Nothobranchius furzeri: one gene and its partners. The protein of the gene in region 1 purifies or fractionates together with the protein of each later gene. This does not show direct contact. Links are inferred from orthologs where the notes say so. Each region holds a gene or a part of one and is shown in the gene's direction. Other genes may lie near its edges.

Region 1 (5,554 bases):
CGTGATTCACGCCCGGCAGCAGGTCCGGTCGCCGGTGACCAACATCGCCCGCACCAGCTTCTTCCATGTCAAGCGCTCAAACATATGGTTGGCAGCTGTGACCAAGCAGAATGTCAACGCTGCCATGGTGTTTGAGTTCCTTTACAAGATGTGTGACGTCATGACTGCCTACTTTGGCAAAATCAGCGAGGAGAACATCAAGAACAACTTTGTGCTCATCTACGAGCTGCTGGATGGTAGGAGACGATCCTGGAGTCTATTAGTCATATAATAAACATTTTGTAGGACTGCTGGACTTACACATGTCTGGGTGTAGAAAAAAAGCCTAATGTTCTGTTAGTCAGTCAGCACCGGCTACTCCGTGTACTTCATGTTCTAGTTTTCTCTACACTAGTCTTTTATCGCTAACCGCTATCTACTGGTGTTTGTTTATTCAGAGATCCTGGACTTTGGCTACCCCCAGAACTCAGAGACCGGAGCCCTGAAGACCTTCATCACCCAGCAAGGCATTAAGGGACAAGTAAGTACAGTGTTTGCCCCCGACTGATGTAGAGCTTTCAGTTTGATGTTTTTGTAGAAGATAACCTAGAAAAGTGGTGTTCAGATGAACTAAATTCACTCTAACCTGAAGCGATGAATAGTTTAAAGACAATCTGGTGGTGGAAATGTTTATTTTTGTATCTGATTCTAGTAAACTTTACATGTGGTTAATTTGTATGAATATTAAATGTGTGTTTGTTTGTGTGTGTGTGTGTGTGTGTGTGTGTCATTGTTTCCCTCGTCTGCGGTTTTTGGACCATTCAGCACCAGGTAATGTTGAAAGTTTTGTAAAAAGTCGTGTTTTCATGTGTTTCCACTCTCTGTCATCCTCTGATCATCATCATCCTTGTGTGGAAGTTTTGCTCTTTGTTCCTGATCCAGTTTCTGCTCCTGTTTCTCAGACAAAAGAGGAGCAGTCTCAGATCACCAGCCAGGTGACGGGCCAGATCGGCTGGCGTCGTGAGGGCATCAAGTATCGCCGCAATGAGCTCTTCCTGGATGTACTGGAAAGTGTTAATCTGCTCATGTCACCTCAAGGTCTGTTTATGTCCTCTAAAGACGTCCCTGACTGCTAACATAAAAAGATCCGAGGAAATGTTGACATTCAGAGACGTCTAAATGACTTGCTATCAAGTTTTGCCATGAAGGTCGACTAAAACTAGTTGAAGACTTTTTGATCGTGTTTACTTCTGCAGCTTTAAACAGAGATGGTACTGTAGAATAATTTTAGTATTTCCACAGTTTTAGACCTGAATTAAAAAGTCCTATTGTGCAGAAACGCTGTCTAAATATGGTGGAACCTGTCCCAGCGGTGTCCAGATGTTGATCCTCTCACTCCTTCCATCCAGGCCAGGTCCTGAGCGCCCACGTGTCGGGCCGTGTTGTGATGAAGAGCTACCTGAGCGGAATGCCGGAGTGCAAATTCGGCATGAACGACAAGATCGTCATCGACAAGCAGGGCAAGGGAGGAGCGTCCGACGATGCAGGGAAAAGGTGAGTGATGCGTGAGTGAGGAGGCAGGCGCTTTGGTCAAACGTGCTTTCATAAGGAGGGACATAAATTATGACTTTGCTTTTCTTGTCTAAATAGTTCTGTCCTTGAGCTCCGACTAAGAAATTCTTTTGTCCTTTTGTTTGCTCTCCTTTTGGATGGCTCTCTGTCTTTTATCCTTTCTTTACTTTGTGCTGTACCACAGTGATTTAGGGGGAGGAAGGTACGATAGCAACAAGGTTCCTCTCCCTCCACCGCTTCATTCTCCTCCTGTGTTCTGCCCAGTAACTGTTTCATCATCCCTAACCGTCCTAGTTCACTCTTTACCCATCATCATTTACTGTAGTTTTGTAGTAATAATTTAATCCAGGTTCAAATGTTGTCTTCTAGCAGCCATGTCTTTGTACTTAAGTATACTGGTGGATATCCAGAGAGTAGATTTTATCTGTAGATTGGAAAAGGATAGTTAAAATCCAGACTAGTAACAAGTTAGTTGGTGTGTCTGATGCATCTTCTGTCCTCTTCAGTGGGAAGCAGTCCATAGCCATTGATGACTGCACTTTCCACCAGTGTGTGCGTCTCAGTAAGTTTGATTCTGAGCGCAGCATCAGCTTCATCCCTCCTGATGGAGAGTATGAGCTCATGAGGTCAGTAATGGTAGTAGATTATTAGAGCCTAAAGCATCCATGAATGTCTGCTCTGATAGATCCTGCTGGGTTTTTATTTATTTTTTTATTTTTCCACTCATTCAAAATTTTGGTGGATTGATAATTCCCCCCCCCCCCCCCATTTATTTTTATTAATTTACTTTTTAAATGTATGTATTTTTCAGATATCGCACCACTAAGGACATCATCCTGCCGTTCCGAGTTATTCCTCTGGTCAGGGAGGTGGGTCGCACCAAACTGGAGGTTAAAGTGGTCATCAAGTCCAACTTCAAACCTTCGCTGCTGGCTCAGAAAATTGAGGTCAGCAAACACATTTTTACATTTTTGATGAAATTCTTTAAGTTTTGACTTCACTGGTAAATATCTGGGCTAATTCTCTCCTCAGGTGCGAATTCCAACACCCCTCAACACTAGCGGTGTGCAGGTGATTTGCATGAAGGGAAAAGCCAAATACAAGGCCAGTGAGAACGCCATAGTCTGGAAGTGAGTTGGAGCTTAGATTAAATTTAATTAACAATCTGAACTCGATGTTTAACCTCTCAAGTATTCCTGTGTGGGAATGTTTCCTTTGTGAAGCTACAAGTTTGCATTTGCAGGATCAAGCGGATGGCTGGGATGAAGGAGTCTCAGATCAGTGCTGAGATTGAGCTGCTGCCTACCAACGATAAGAAGAAATGGGCCAGGCCTCCCATCTCTATGAACTTTGAGGTAAGCGCAGCACAGTCCAGTCTGTCCTCCTTTAAGCTGTCACAGCTTAAGAGCTTCCTAATTTCAGTCGGATTCAAAGTGAACTTTTCTCTTCCAGCTGATGTTTCTAAAACTATATTTATTCTGTGAACAGTCACAGACATAGATAATAATAAGTTAGATATTTCCCAGCTTCTCCTGGTGGCTGAGACTGTAATGTGGTGTTGGCAGCCAAACAAATGGACTCTGGGTTAAATCAGATCCCAGTATTTGCTAAGAAACTTAAAAGCCGTTTAGTGTTAAACAAACTCAGAGCTTCGGTGGTGGGTAAACAGAGCAGCCCGCCTGTCCTAACATGTTCCAACTTCCCTCTCCTCTCCAGGTTCCTTTCGCACCCTCTGGCCTGAAGGTGCGCTACTTGAAGGTGTTTGAGTCCAAGCTCAATTACAGTGACCACGACGTCATCAAATGGGTGCGGTACATCGGCCGCTCCGGCATCTACGAAACCCGCTGCTGAAGTTCAGCCCCGCCAGGCAGCAAACTGACCACTTCCCTCCCATCTTTCCTGTCATTTTATTCTTCTTTCCTCCTCCTCCGTCTTTGTTCCTCCCTCTGTCCTTATCACTTTTCTCCTTCCCCATCATCCCTTCTTAACTAGGTGTCGGAGATTGAATTTACATCGTTTAAAAGAAAAACAAGTAAATATGGTGTAATTCAGATATATGCAAAATGTGAACCATTGTATCGTATATATCTAGTAGTGATGAGTAAAAAATGTAAACCATCTGGTGTCCGAATGAAAAAGACAAGTGATGCCGGGTCTCAGGGGGAGAGGGCGGGAGCTTTGTGTATCCAGTGTTATCGTTCTTCTTTTCTCCGATATAGAAATCCCACGTCAGTTAACCCTGGGAAGGGGGTTCGTCACTATTGTGATTTAAAATAAGTCCTGATAGTTTCTATATATAAATATCCTGGTAGAGTTGACCTTTTCAATGAATCGGTATTTGATGCTACATGCTCGTCACTAGAAGGTAAATCATTCCCAGCCGACTGTCGTTCAGAAAGAAATGACGCTGAGCAAGTTGGTTTTGTACTTGGACGTTACTGATCCTTTACCTGTGTTCCTTTTCCCTCCGCTTTCAGAGTTATGCCAGGCAGGTTAGACCTTCATCCTGATTGGCTTATTCTGACTCATTCCCACAAACATTTTATAAGCACTAAGATTAACTTTCACACTATTTTTGGATTTAAAGATCAGTCTGCAGGGTTTGCAGTGAGGTGATGTCTCCCCCTGGTGTTTGCTTCGCCACTGTCTGCTTCATGTGTGTAGCCCTGGTGACCGTTCTGTCCAATAAAATCTATGTAACCAAACATCTTACCCCTCCTTTTCAGCTGTGTTTTTTATAATACTCTGGGGGGGGGGAGTACAGTCATTTTTCTCCATTACTGCTGTCAAAAGAAAATTGAAAGGGCAGAAAAAATTAGATTGGTTAATCAGACCAGAAAAACTGTTAAAAACTGTTAACTTTTTTTATTCTTGGGTCTACATCCAAAATATCAGACAAAAGTAACAATTAAAACTACTTGTGTACATTTCTTTGCCTTCTGCCATTCGAGTTAAGTGGACGTGATTCGTAGCTTAGCACCACAAGCTAGGCTGGATCTCTCCCCTGCAGTTTCTCTTCAACGCTCAAATCTGATTAGCAATGACAGCCAACATTTACACTAATCATTACAATGTCTCGTTTTTGCTTGGATGAAAGACATGCTTAGATCACTGAAGATGGGAAAATCCAGGATATTTGACTAGACAATTCTGTTACTATGATCCTCGTTTGTGCCCATGTTTAAGCTACAGGTGACGCCATCAAACAGCATTAGTTAGTGGAAGTACTGGTTAACCCTCAGATTGCCATCGAAGTGTGCTAGTCATGAGGAACTTTTAAAACCCTCTTTAGGAAGAACATTTGTGTATTTCCAAGATGAATATAAAAACAATACCTGCTGTTTTGATACAAGTTCCTCATAAGCTTAGATCTGAATTGCTCAAAGAAAAATGCAAGTCCAGCCTTGCTTTTGTCAACTCTGCTCAGAGTTCAAATGAGATCACAGGCAAGAAAACTACAAAAATAAGCATTTCTACATGATTTAAGTTATGTTCTCTCACGCCACTGAAAGGCGTCTACTCTGAAACTAGTCTTCCAAAGACTGATTCTTGTCTGCAGACAAGGGCTGAAAGCAAGTTTTTTTTACTATGTGGCATGAAATAAAAACACTCAATCCAGATGTGTCAGATAAAACATCTGGAACATGCGGACTAAAAGAACTTTAGCACATGCAGATCCACGGATACGAGCAGCTCCGACGTGGGCAGGCAGACACACAGGAACAAGCGCACACACACCTTCACTCAGATTACTCTTAGGCAATGAAACCTGGAGTTTTCCTGTTATTTTAGGAGAAAGGTGAGTCCATGTTAGTCTGAAAAATGAGCAGATCATTTGAAGAGTTCTGGATATATTTTTTTTAAACCTGATCCTCAAGATAACAGTGACTGAACTCAAATGACCTCAGATTAAAACTGAAATCAGTGAGCCCTAAAGCTAAGCTCACTGAAGGAAAACTCGTGCGCCATGATGTATAAATACAGCCAGGAATGGAACAGTGTA
Region 2 (6,182 bases), on another chromosome or scaffold:
CCCCCCACCAGGTGTCTGTCTCTTCAGGGAGAAGAGAGAGAACTTGTTAATCTGTGGGAAATCCTCCCAGATGTGCAAGAAGAAGAGCCTTTCATCCCACTAAAGGAGCAAAGGTCACAGCTCGGTGTCCAAGAGGAAGGTGGCCATAGTTTGTGCTCAGAAAAAGTTATTACAGTGCCAAGAACTGACTTCATGTTTAGCAGACTGAGTGTGAAGTGATGGCAAGTCATGTCGATCGGACCTTTTCTGCAAACGTGCACAGCGCTGAATCAATGTGCAAATGAAGGCTGTGTCTCAGCAGAACGCTGCTCGGCCCTCAGGCCCACACTCAGCACCGGTAGCCCGGCTGGTACGCAGCCTCTGGCCCAAAGCTTTGATCCCAGTGGCAGGATCACTAAAAGTTTTTACAAGCAATAACAATGAAATGACTTCCTGGATTTCTTTTTTCTTTGTCTTGTTTTAAGCTGTTAACGTTGTCCATTTGTGTGTTTTTCTTTTTGCCTGGTGACCGTTGATGTAAATCAGGAGGATAGTAAAGTTCAGAAAAGTAGGGAGACTTTGTTTGTAGTGCTTAATTTATTTTCATACACTTGACGAAAGTCGGTAACTAAGAATCAAAACTTGTGGTTTTCATATCGGTTTAAAATCAGAGTTTGATCTCGTCTCGAGTCAGATTCGTGTTTACGCAGCAGCACATTAATAATAGTCTTATATCATGCTTATAACTCACACAGACAGGGTTACGTCAAGCCCGCTGTGGGGAAAACGCATCTGATGCTACGTTTTAGCAAATATTTTGCCAGTGTTGAGGAAGAAATGGCAAAAACTGGTCAAAACCTGCTTTTTAAACAGTGACCTTTGAAATACAGCCTGAACCTCTCTTCCTGGGTCTGAATGTCTTCCTGTGGTGTTTTACCCACGGCAGAATTTTACTAAATGTTTGCTCGTTTTCCACAGAATCAGAAGAAGAGCTTATAAAGTGTAAAAATAAGTCAAGTCTTTTTGAATTCTTAGACATTTATGCCTTAAATGATAAATGAACCCTGCTTGCTAACAAACAAAAACCTTGTTTCTATGGTTGATCTGTGAAGCTTCTGATGGGCTTCTGGAGGAACTACCGTAATTTCCGGACTATAGAGTGCACTTCAATATAAGCCGCACCAACAAAAAAAAAAAAAAAAAAAGCTTTTCTACACACACACACGCCGCACTCAAATACAAGCCGCGGCGCAGCAGCCACATGCAGGTCTCCGGCGCATAGCGCATGTACGGCCATTACATAAGATAATTAGACAGAAAGACGCCACACGGAGTTTTTTCGTTGTTGTTTTAATTCAACAAAACACATTTTAAACACGGGTGAATGTGCCTGCAAGTTTAGAAATGAAAACAGCACTGATAGCATTCATATTTCTGGATGGTTATAAGATAAAAACAGCACTGACACGTTATTACCGGTAATTTGCATGTTCAGAAGGAAAGAACAGCGCTGACACAGCATTAATAAGCCCTGGATGATTAGAAAATAAAAACTGCACACAAAACATGCCTGTTAGTAAATAAAACACACTTGCCTACCAGAAAAAGTCATTAGCTCTCATCTTCCTCTTGCGCACTAAAGCCATTAAAGTCCTCTTCTTCAGTGTCGGAGATGAACAGCCTCAGAAGAGCTTCGTCACAGACCTTTTCTGTGGCGATGTCAGTGTCTCTGTCCGTGTTGCTGTCATCATCCCCGGGTGAAGCCGGCTTGAATGAGTTCTTCCCGCTGCCGTCTCCAGCGCCGAGCCATGGATTCATTCATGCCAAGCTTACGTGCGGCAGCGCTGTTTCCCTCCTTTACTGCCAGATCGATGGCCTTCAACTTAAATGCGGCATCATATGAACTCATACGTGTAGTTACCATGATGAGGGGGTATGGATTTGAAAAAGATTCTTCGTCGTGCCGGCTGCTTGCATGTGCTAATTTAAAATGAGCACTTTCTTCGATTTCCACTTTTGACTTCCACCTGTTTCACTTTCTGCGAAAGCGCCCCCTGGCAGGTGAAGGAAAATCTTCAGTAAAGCCGCACCTCATTATAAACCGCATGGTTCAAAGCGTGGGAAAAAAGGTAGCGGCTTATAGTCTGGAAAATACGGTACTTAATGCTTACAAAGAGCAGAGTTTTTACTCAATTCAATTCCTTCTATGTTTCTTTAAAACCAGTTGCAGACTGAAGGGAAGTAAAATTCCTTTGATGTTTTGAAAGCTAAACTTTTATTAATGGCATGTGTTGGGATCTACTGTAGGAGGAATCTTGGAACAAACTGATTTGGGAGCATCTGGTTTGGATAATTGACTTTAGAGAAGTTTTTTATTAATATACACAGTCTCTTTCAGGTGTTGAAACTTAAGGGATACGTTATGACCTTGTATCAATAAGCAGATACCCAACATGCTATCGGTGTGATCAGATCACAATGCTTTTCTTTCACAGCCAGGTGTCCTGTTTGATGCTCATGTGATGCAATTGTTTTGAAACTTGAAAAACCCTACAGAAAACTGAATACCCTTTAATAAACTCATTTAAACATGATACTTGTAGTTTTTTGTTTGTTTGTTTGTTTTTTATAAAAGATCTGGCAATTATTATTTAAGCTGAACCAACATTAAGCCAGTTTTAAAATAAAATGTCATCTGGACTTCATGTTAGTTTCACGTATAAAGTAATATCGAACATGAATCATATTAATACTGTTTAGTTGTTATTTCGTCTATAATTTGAATATTAATCCCAGGACAAACTCGTGTTTACAGCAGATTGACAGTTACGTCTACAACCTCCGGACACCGGGTGGCGCTGTTTGAAGCTGGCGGCGCGGCGTCAACCACCAAGCAGCTTCAGCACGGGCGTCCATTGAAAGTCGGAAGTTGTTTTTTGGTTTGTGAAACTTGACAAAATGGCAGAGGACAACAGTTATGAGTCGATGCTGTGTGTGAAGCCAGAGGTTCATGTTTACCGGATCCCGCCGCGGGCCTCCAACCGCGGATATCGGTAAGAAAGCTTCTTTCTGGCGAGTCGGAAAAAGTGTTTGTCAGCAGGCTAGTTTAACTGTCATGTTTCCATTATCGGACTAACAAGCTGTCAACCAAACTGGTCTGAAGACACTCGACAGCTACGGACTCTTTTTCTTAGTTCTCACTAAAGGTTCGTATATTGGGAAAGTTTAACAATATCAACTGGCAGCAGCGAGCTAATAGCTAGAAACACCACCATCAGTGTTTTTTGTTTACAAATGTTTTATTTGAGTTAAGAAGAAACATGTTCTTGTTTTAACGGATTGTTTTACATCATTCACTCTGAAACTGGTTATGAGAAAATCCAAATAAATCAAATTCCCTTTCAGTTTTCACTCTGTGTGTAAAATGGTAAACTTCGGTGGATTGATTTTGATCATTGTTTACATTTTAAAACACAAAAGTGTGTGTGTGTGTGTGTGTGTGTGTGTGTGTGTGTGTGTGTGTGTGTGTGTGATTTCAGGTTTTGTTTTGTATTCACATTCTAAACTAACCCCAATAATCTATATTGGTCAGATGGTACTTATACAACTTTTATTATCTTTAAAAACAAGCAACTGGGAGTTTCCCTGTTTGTCTTTTTTCGATCTTTTAGGCAGATTTTAATTTCACTTCCTCATTATGTTGGACAAGTAAAGCTGCTAAAACAAACGCAGAGACAGGAGCTCCTTTAAATGAGGATTTACATGAATGGTTCTCTAATCCGGTGGGTTTTTCCTGCTTCTTTCATCTAGAGCTGCTGACTGGAAACTGGATGAACCTGCGTGGAGCGGTAGGATGAAAATCACAGCCAAAGGAAAGATGGCTTTCATCAAGCTGGAGGACAAAAACACAGGTAAACCTTATCATGAGCCTCACAGCCAAATACCTTAGTTGTGCTGTGAAACAAGTCCTTTTTTGTATGAACTGGTTTCAACACAGCCTGAAACTCTTCTCAGTGATCATGGGTCAAAGGACAGCAGTTATGATCATTCTTTGTTTAGGGATGCACCGATCAGGTTTTTTGCTGCCGATACCGATATCAAAGAATGCTGATCACCGATACCGATCACGTGGATTGGCCAGAAATTTTCTACAACATTATAATGAGTGCTACAAACTACATAATCTGGGAATAAAAGAAATGTAACCTAATCTAAAATGGTCTGTATTAAAGTTGTCACGGTGTGAAAATTTAACCTCACGGTCATTGTGACCAAAATTACCACGGTTTTCGGTATTATCGCGGTATTTTTTTTAACCGTGCTACATTTTCACACAATTAAATAAACCCTGTATGTCAGGAAATATTGTCATCAGTTTGTGTCTAAATTTGCCTAAAATGTGTTATTTTCTAATTATGTTGTTTATTTGTTTACATTTTTCCCTTTAGTCTTTAAAATACCAATATTTGCCCATAACTTCTTATTTTATGTCTGTTTGATGTCATCATTTTAAAAATATTAGATCAGATGATACTCAGTACTCAAGTAGCCTTCTAATCAGATACTTTTTTTTACCCTTAATTGAGTAATAAAGCCTATATCAGGAAAATATCGTCCTCGGTTTGTGTCCTTCCTGTGAGCTTTGCAGGCAGTAATCATTGTTAAATTCATAATTATTCTCGGAGAGAGACCAACTCTTATCTGCCCCTGGGAGCCCCATAATGCATAGCGTCATTTCAACATGGGGGTAGGGATGCACCGATGGATCGGCATTTGATCGTAATCGGCCGATAGCGCCCCTATCGGTTTTGATCGGAATTTTTAAAATAGATCAGAGCAAACCGATCAGGTAGGGTTGTCACGGTAACCAGTGTAGCGCTAAACCCCGGTAAAAGAAAAAAAGAAAAAAAGTTGACAATAATAACCGTCTTGTTTTTAAAAAAATATATTATCTTGGTGGGTTTACCGTGGCTGCGGTGTAGGCGCGGTGACCCTTACCAGCCACCGTATCATCGGCTGAAGTTGCCGGCGGCACATGCACGCTTTGTTTACAACAAAACTTTCTTGAAGCTAAAGCTGAAATAATGGTCAAAGGAGGAGACGGCAGCGCTCAGGAGGACATTTATTATCCCTCAAAGAAGACAAAGTCGGAAGTACAGGCATCTTTTAGATATTTGAAGAATGCCGAGGGAGTTTATGGAAGACGGACGGCTATCCTGTTTGCAGCACGAGCAGAAAAAGTGTCTGTGAAAGGCAGCAACGCTTCAAATCTCATGACACATCTGCGTGACCATCACCCACAACTCTACAGTCAACGCAAGGCAAGTTAACGTTAGCGTTTTAGCTAAAATGCGTGATCCGAGGAATTGGGTTGAGGGAGAAGGCAACGAGTCGCTATATAAAGCAGCCGCAGCGCCGCCACCTGCATATAAACCGTGTTGCGGACACCCCCATGTTGAAATGACTCTATGCATTACGGGGCTCCCAGGGGCAGATAAGAGTTGGTCTCTCTCCGAGAATAATTATGAATTTAACAATGATTACTGCCTGATGACATTTTCCCACATCTGCAAAGCTGACTGGAAGGACACAAACCGAGGACAATATTTTCCTGATATACGGATTACTCAAGTAAGGGTAAAAAAGTATCTGATTAGAAGGCTACTTGAGTACTGAGTATCATCTGATCTAATATTTTTAAAATGATGACATCAAACAGACATAAAATAAGAAGTTATGGGCAAATATTGCTATTTTAAAGACTAAAGGGGGAAAATGTAAACAAATAAACAACTTAATTACAAAATAACACATTTTAGGCAAAATTTACACACAAACTGAGGACAATATTTTCCTGACATACAGGGTTTATTTAATTGTGTGAAAATGTAGCATGTTTAAAAAAAATACCGCGATAATACCGAAAACCGTGGTCATTTTGGTCACAATAACCGCGAGGTTAAATTTTCACACCGTGACAACCCTAACCCCCAAATTCCACTACCTCCGCTCCGCTCCGCTCCGACACGAACGCCGGAGCAAAATCGGTCCCGTTGTAGTCAATCAGAGCAATTCCACTACTGCGGCCGTGCTCCGGCAGTGCGGCGCCATGCGCCGCCCTCTGTTCCGGCGTCCGGCAAAAATAGAATCGATCCTATTTTCGCCGGACGCCGGAGCACCTCCGCAGTAAATGGACAGAAATC
Region 3 (6,082 bases), on another chromosome or scaffold:
GTAGCTGAGATGATGAGGGTCCTCTGGAATAGTCAGAGAGAGAAGTCTGTAGCTGCTGCACTGGAAAGAGTGTGTGTGTGTGTGTGTGTGTGTGTGTGTGTGTGTGTGTGTGTGTGTGTGTGTGTGTGTGTGTGTGTGTGTGTGTGTGTGTGTGTGTGTGTGTGTGTGTGTGTGTGTGTGTGTGTGTGTGTGTGTGTGTGTGTGTGTGTGTGTGTGTGTGTGTGTGTGTGTGTGTGTGTGTGTGTGTGTGCGTGCGTGCGTGCGTGCGTGCGTGCGTGCGTGCGTGCGTGCGTGCGTGCGTGCGTGCGTGCGTGCGTGCGTGCGTGCGTGCGTGCGCGAGAGGACAGCTGTAGCGTCGAGCCAATTGCATCTGTACTCCCAGCAGCCTTTGGGACAGTAATGAGAGTTTTCTCGCTGCTCTGCGACCCATGACTCAGAAGGGAGGATGGAGGCGGGTGGAGAAGGAGGCTGCACTGCGGCACCATCAACCTCCAAGCTGCTGTTTTGTGCTGTCATCATGATGTGACTTCCTCTTGTTGGTGGGCGCGAGTATGGGTCTCAGTGGTATTGTGACATGTGTTGTTTCCTGGGTGAGTCAGGTGGACCACCACACCTGGAGATGATGAAGGGCGTTTGCCTCATACATCAGAGCCTGCTGAAGGTAATCGGTGTTCTGTCTGGAGTTTACGGGTGATTTGGTCAGCCGTGGATAGTTTCACAAACTGTACAGAGAAGTTACACAAAGTGTTCTAGTTACAAATCCTGTGGTGTTGTAAAACGAAGCTGCCTCTCACTCGCAGCGATGCGGATGTTTGTCTGTTCAAGTGCTCAGAAACAAACGCAGGTTCATTTAGGTCCTTGTCCTTCTCCCTCATCTAAACGTCGTCTTCATTCCATCTTCAGTTGAACACGTGTCTCATCCCATTCACACATTTAATACTTGAATAATGTTTAATCTTTTGTTGGTGTTACACTTTTTGTCTTTTTTTAAGCAGGTTTAATAGCAGAGAAATGCTTCCAAATACCCCCCCCCCCATTCAGTTATCTCGCTGTCGAGCTACGTCCCCTAACTGTAGCTTACTAACACTGTGCACGCCTTTCCATTACTGCATGTCTCTGTGGTTTACACACACACACACACACACACACACACACACACACACACACACACACACACACACACACACAAGTGTTTAGCTCACCCTGAATGAATCTGCAGTTCTGGCTAACATACTAAATCATGCATAACTCGGTGCGCTGGGTGCCATCTCCACTGTGGCTGTGGGGGGGTGCTGGGTTCGTTCTGCTTCTGCTTTTGGTTTAAAGAAGTTGCAGCTGCCCAAACATGACCCCAGACTCCAGGTGATCTGTGAACGCTCACAAGATTGATCCTCTGCGATCGTTTGTTTCTGTCTATTGAGCCAGCCGTGGAAGGATCATATCCTGCTCTAGAAACCAGAGGTGTGTTTTCACGTCTCCTCTGTCCAGGCTGCTCAGTGTCCACTCTTAATCTGGGGAAATTCCATCTTTGATCATTCAGATCCAACAGAACCAAAGTTCTACAGTTGGAGGGGGTTCTGCTGGGAAGGGTTTATTTTCTTCATTTATGGTTCTACTAACATGTTTACCATGACCAAAATCTCACTCATCGGAACCTCAAGAAATCACAAAGCTAACTGCTCACTCATAACCCAGCTTCACCAAACCCTTTCCCATCAGAACGGGCTCCAGTCCATTCCTAGGTAACATTCTCATACCCCTTGTCCCCTCATCTCCTCCATCTCTCTCACCCACCCCCCTTTTACCACATCCACTTTCAGGACAGGAAATTCTTCAAAGGATTCTTTACTAAAGTAAGTTTTTGGTTCTGTGTGTCTTAGTGTTTCTCTTAGCATTTTAATTATTGTTTCCTTCTCACACCTCACACTTTGATCACATGTGGCTGCTGGAGGAAGCACATGGACACAGACAGGGGAAATGTGTCTGAAGTGAGACCGACACCCTAGTGCATGTGTCTGGGGGGGGGGGGGGGGGCAAGCCAGGGTGGGGCACAGTGTGTGTTTGGGTCTGGATTTTCGGGCGTGCCTTCTCTCCCTTCAGCCCTGCTGCCATGAACCAAGAATGGAACATTGTGTGAATGAATATTTCCTTTTGATTGTTGGGTTTTGTTTTGTTCTAACCAATGGGATCATCACTTCCTGTTTGCGTCAGAGCACCAATTCTCACACCAACCTTCTTCACTTTGTCAGAATGTGTCTCCTTTTGTGTGACAGCTCTCAGAAAACAGCTCGTTTTAGTCACTCTCTCTCATTTACAGGTGTGTGTGTGTGTGCGTGCGTGCGTGCGTGCGTGTGTGTGACGAGCTTTTTATGAATAGGTACGATGGAACTGGGAAGTAATGAAGTAGGGTAGAGGAAAATAAGAGGTTGTGTTTAAGCTGCTGCTGTGTGTGCGTTTGCAGGCTGGGAAGAAGGCCGTGCGAGCTGTGTTGTGGGTGTCGGCAGACGGGCTTCGCGTTGTCGATGATAAAACGAAGGTAAAACATCTCGTCACTCGTCTTTAACAAGCTGATAAATATTCAGAAACACAAACTAAAATCATTAGTTCTTCAGCTCCAGATGTTAATGATTGAAAAGCTGCTCTAGTTCAGGTCTAATGACCTCCACTAGTCCTGATAGCAAGCCACACACAGTTCACCTGCAGAGCTGTTCATGGACGAACACTGACACCTGCTGGAAAACCCTGATAATGTTTCAGTTTGGTGGGCGTTAGCTGAGAGGGTCTCAAGTACACATTTAGATATTACTGACTTTAATTTTCTGGCTCATTAGTTTAATGTTTAGACAAATAGAAGATCTGTAAGGTAATGTATCTGATGGAGTGTAACTGTAATATCAGCTTACTGAGGTGTGTAAGAAATCTACTCGTTTTCTAAAGAGCAAAACTTCAGATGAAATAACTTTTAGAAATCAATTTTATCATAAGAATTTTGATACAGGTCCCCTCTGCACTGGGACTACGTAAGCTTTTACTTTCAGAAGGTCGCAATCGTGAGTTTCATCTTGAACAGTGACGCCATGAGATCCATCTTTGCAGATGAGTCGGTTATACGGCTCACACTCAAGCCTCTTGAGTTTGTAATGTGATGCATAAATGAGGGGAACTCCTCTTTGCAGGACCTTATTTTGGATCAGACGATAGAAAAGGTGTCGTTCTGCGCCCCGGACAGGAACTTTGAGAGAGCCTTCTCTTACATCTGCAGGGACGGCACCACGCGGCGCTGGATCTGCCACTGCTTCATGGCCATTAAAGACTCGGTAAGAACTCACCTTGGATGTTGGACTTTCTTTAGATTCTATGTTTATTCAATGAGCTCTCACACGGGAAAACGTTCCCTTGTTTGAATCTGCAACATTGTGGTCGCGATACTGCCGTCTGAAAGGCTTGTGTCGTTTCAGGGCGAGAGGCTCAGCCACGCTGTGGGTTGTGCATTCGCCGCGTGTCTGGAGCGGAAACAGAAACGGGAGAAGGAATGTGGTGTCACAGCAACCTTTGATGCAAACCGAACCACTTTCACTCGGGAGGGCTCATTTCGCATTACTACGGCAACAGAGGCTGCTGAACGAGAAGAAGTCATGAGACAGTTGCAGGATGCTAAAAAGGGTCAGTATTAAAAAAGCCGACGTTTGAACTTCTGGACTGATTAAGTGACATCAGTGTGTGGCTGATTGTATAAACTTCTGCCTGGACATCATCATCCACACTAGAACCGTGAGGGTCTTCCCCAACAACAAACCCTGGATCACCTCTGACCTGAAGGAACTGCTGAACAAGAACAAGAGAGTTATTGAAGTTTACCAAAGCAGGATACAGGAAACATCTGTGGTCAAGATGAAGAACATTACTGGCTTCAAGCAGAAGGAAAGTCGCACTGATGGAAGTCTGAACAAAGCCAACAAACAGAACATGTTCTTTATTAGATTCAGTTCAGCATCTTCCTCTCCTGCCCCCAGACAACAGGACAGAGAAGACTGGATCCTTCAGTGTGTGCTGCCAGATGTTCCAGATCTTCTAAAGGTCTGTTGTGGAGAGTGTCATCTGTTCTGCTGTCATATACTGGGACAGCTGCGTCAGAACCTGTGGTTACAAAAAGCTGAACAAGCTGATTAAAACATTCGGTTCTGGGAACAAATCAGGAGCCCCTAGAGGTGGATGGACAAAGGAGGATGCTTCAGAACACGATGGACAACCCTGATCGTCCTCTCCTCAAGACAGTAATTCAGCAACTGGGTGTCTTCAGTCTGAGGCTTCTTCATATCTGCTGCAACTAAGAAGACCCTTCCTGCCTACAGCTAGAACAGAGACACTGAGAAACCCTACCCATGTGTTACTACAACGTTTTAATAAATTAGTTTTGAATTGGGAGAAAAGGGCCGGATGACATTTCTATACTGGTCACTCCTGGTGTGTTTCATTTAGATAATCGCTCCCTTCAAACATCTCATTTTGCTGATTTTGTACAAAAATGGACTCAAAGCTTTTAAAGAGACATCCATCCATTTCTTAGGCTCATTCTCGCTCTTCTGTCTTTACAGCAGAAACAGACATGATGGCCGCAAACCTGGTCAACAGTGTGACAAACGCCACTGGTCACCAGCCAGGAAGCTGCCCATCTCCCTCGTCCTCCCCGCCTCTCTCAGTGACCGCTCTCGGACCTCAGGTGATACCCCGTAGACACGCACCGGTCGAGGCTCTCGCCCGGCAGGGCTCCTTCAGAGGCTTCCCTGCCCTCAGCCAGAAAACGTCGCCTTTTAAAAGACAGCTGTCACTGCGGATGAACGAGCTGCCCTCCACCATGCAGCGCAAGTCTGATTTCCCCATGAAAAATACAGGTTAGTAAAGACTAAAGTCATGACTGTGGGAAGAAATAACTTCTCACTGGTTTAGTTTGAGCTTTGGCCTTACGACATGTGAGCAGTCTGGCAGCATTAGCACTCAGACGCCATGCTGGTTGTTTTTTGTCCTGGGAACGATTCAGACCTGAACTGAACAAACCAGTCAGTTGATGACTCATCCTATTTTAAAGGTGTGAAGCACTCATTAGATCAACACATTTGCAGTGGTCTCTAGTAGGAATGAAGCACACACGGATTATTCAGCTGGAGGAGAAAGTAGCTTCACGCGACAGGATTTGGAGTCTTATTTCCTGATATGTGGCCATATCTCCTCTGACTGGCTAACTGCAACACGACTCTACCACTGGCTCTGTTTCCTCTGCAAAGTTAATGTTTTATCTTCACCAATAACACAAGCCTGAAGGAGTTCTGCTCTGTGGTGGAGTTGCTAATGCTCACAGTTAGCTTCTACTAGCCTAGACGTTCTCTGCTGTTTCCTGGACTCTAAACCAACAACAGCCTTCCCCGTTGTGAGTTCATATGGGTGAGTCCATGAATGTTAAGTGACAGTGTGACGTAGGGCAGCTCAATTAATCTAAACACAATTACGATCTGAGTTTTGAATGATTATAAAAACAAAACGAGCCGATTATTTGCTTCTCCCACTTGCGCTGCCCCAAGTTGCAAATGAAGCGCTCCTCCCACAGTGTTGCCAACTTGGCGACTTTGACGCTATTTCCAACAGCTTTTCAGACCCCCTTCTTGACTTTTTAAATCTTAAAAGTACCTGGCGAACACCTCAGAAACATCTCTGGTAACCCTTAGCTACTTTCTGGATAACTGTCGTCGACATTTCCTGCTGCAGGTTAGCTAAACACTCCGCCTGCGCTCCGGACCGTTCTTCACAACATTAGGAAAGGGAATGATGTAGTGATGTGTTGGTCGCTAAAGAAACGGCTCTCGGAGCCGGCTCCCTGTTGGAGTAACCAGAGTGAGTGACACACACACCGCTCCTGCGGACTCCTGAGCCACTAAAAACGGCTAAATGTGCACGTGCGGCGCGCTAAACACACGTGCAGCTTGCCCCGATTGATGAGACTGGGTTGGGGGGTGGGGGGTGCAGCTGTGGTTGGGACAATTATTACATTTACTAATGGACGACTTGTAAATACATAGTTTATAAATAA

The links.
Region 2: the proteins of AP-2 complex subunit mu-A (region 1) and necap2 purify together in Homo sapiens (affinity purification with mass spectrometry; 4 studies listed by BioGRID and IntAct, counting the BioPlex papers as one, with this or other methods). This does not show direct contact. The link is inferred for Nothobranchius furzeri from reciprocal best matches to the Homo sapiens genes AP2M1 and NECAP2.
Region 3: the proteins of AP-2 complex subunit mu-A (region 1) and numb purify together in Homo sapiens (affinity purification with mass spectrometry; 3 studies listed by BioGRID and IntAct, counting the BioPlex papers as one, with this or other methods). This does not show direct contact. The link is inferred for Nothobranchius furzeri from reciprocal best matches to the Homo sapiens genes AP2M1 and NUMB.

Annotation. Positions count from the first base shown.
Region 1 is NC_091751.1:56,901,027-56,906,580, forward strand, and holds the end of AP-2 complex subunit mu-A, read left to right. Parts: coding exon 1-236; intron 237-437; coding exon 438-520; intron 521-941; coding exon 942-1,077; intron 1,078-1,388; coding exon 1,389-1,533; intron 1,534-2,057; coding exon 2,058-2,177; intron 2,178-2,362; coding exon 2,363-2,498; intron 2,499-2,583; coding exon 2,584-2,681; intron 2,682-2,794; coding exon 2,795-2,906; intron 2,907-3,267; coding exon 3,268-3,402; 3' UTR 3,403-4,263; downstream 4,264-5,554.
Region 2 is NC_091743.1:46,249,671-46,255,852, forward strand, and holds the start of necap2 (adaptin ear-binding coat-associated protein 2), read left to right. Parts: upstream 1-2,843; 5' UTR 2,844-2,937; coding exon 2,938-3,032; intron 3,033-3,789; coding exon 3,790-3,890; intron 3,891-6,182. UniProt on the Homo sapiens protein: Involved in endocytosis.
Region 3 is NC_091758.1:16,879,733-16,885,814, reverse strand, and holds part of numb (protein numb homolog), read left to right. Parts: intron 1-196; exon of another isoform or gene 197-574; coding exon of another isoform or gene 575-661; intron 662-1,820; coding exon 1,821-1,853; intron 1,854-2,461; coding exon 2,462-2,536; intron 2,537-3,176; coding exon 3,177-3,317; intron 3,318-3,458; coding exon 3,459-3,663; intron 3,664-4,595; coding exon 4,596-4,892; intron 4,893-6,082. UniProt on the Homo sapiens protein: Regulates clathrin-mediated receptor endocytosis. Plays a role in the process of neurogenesis.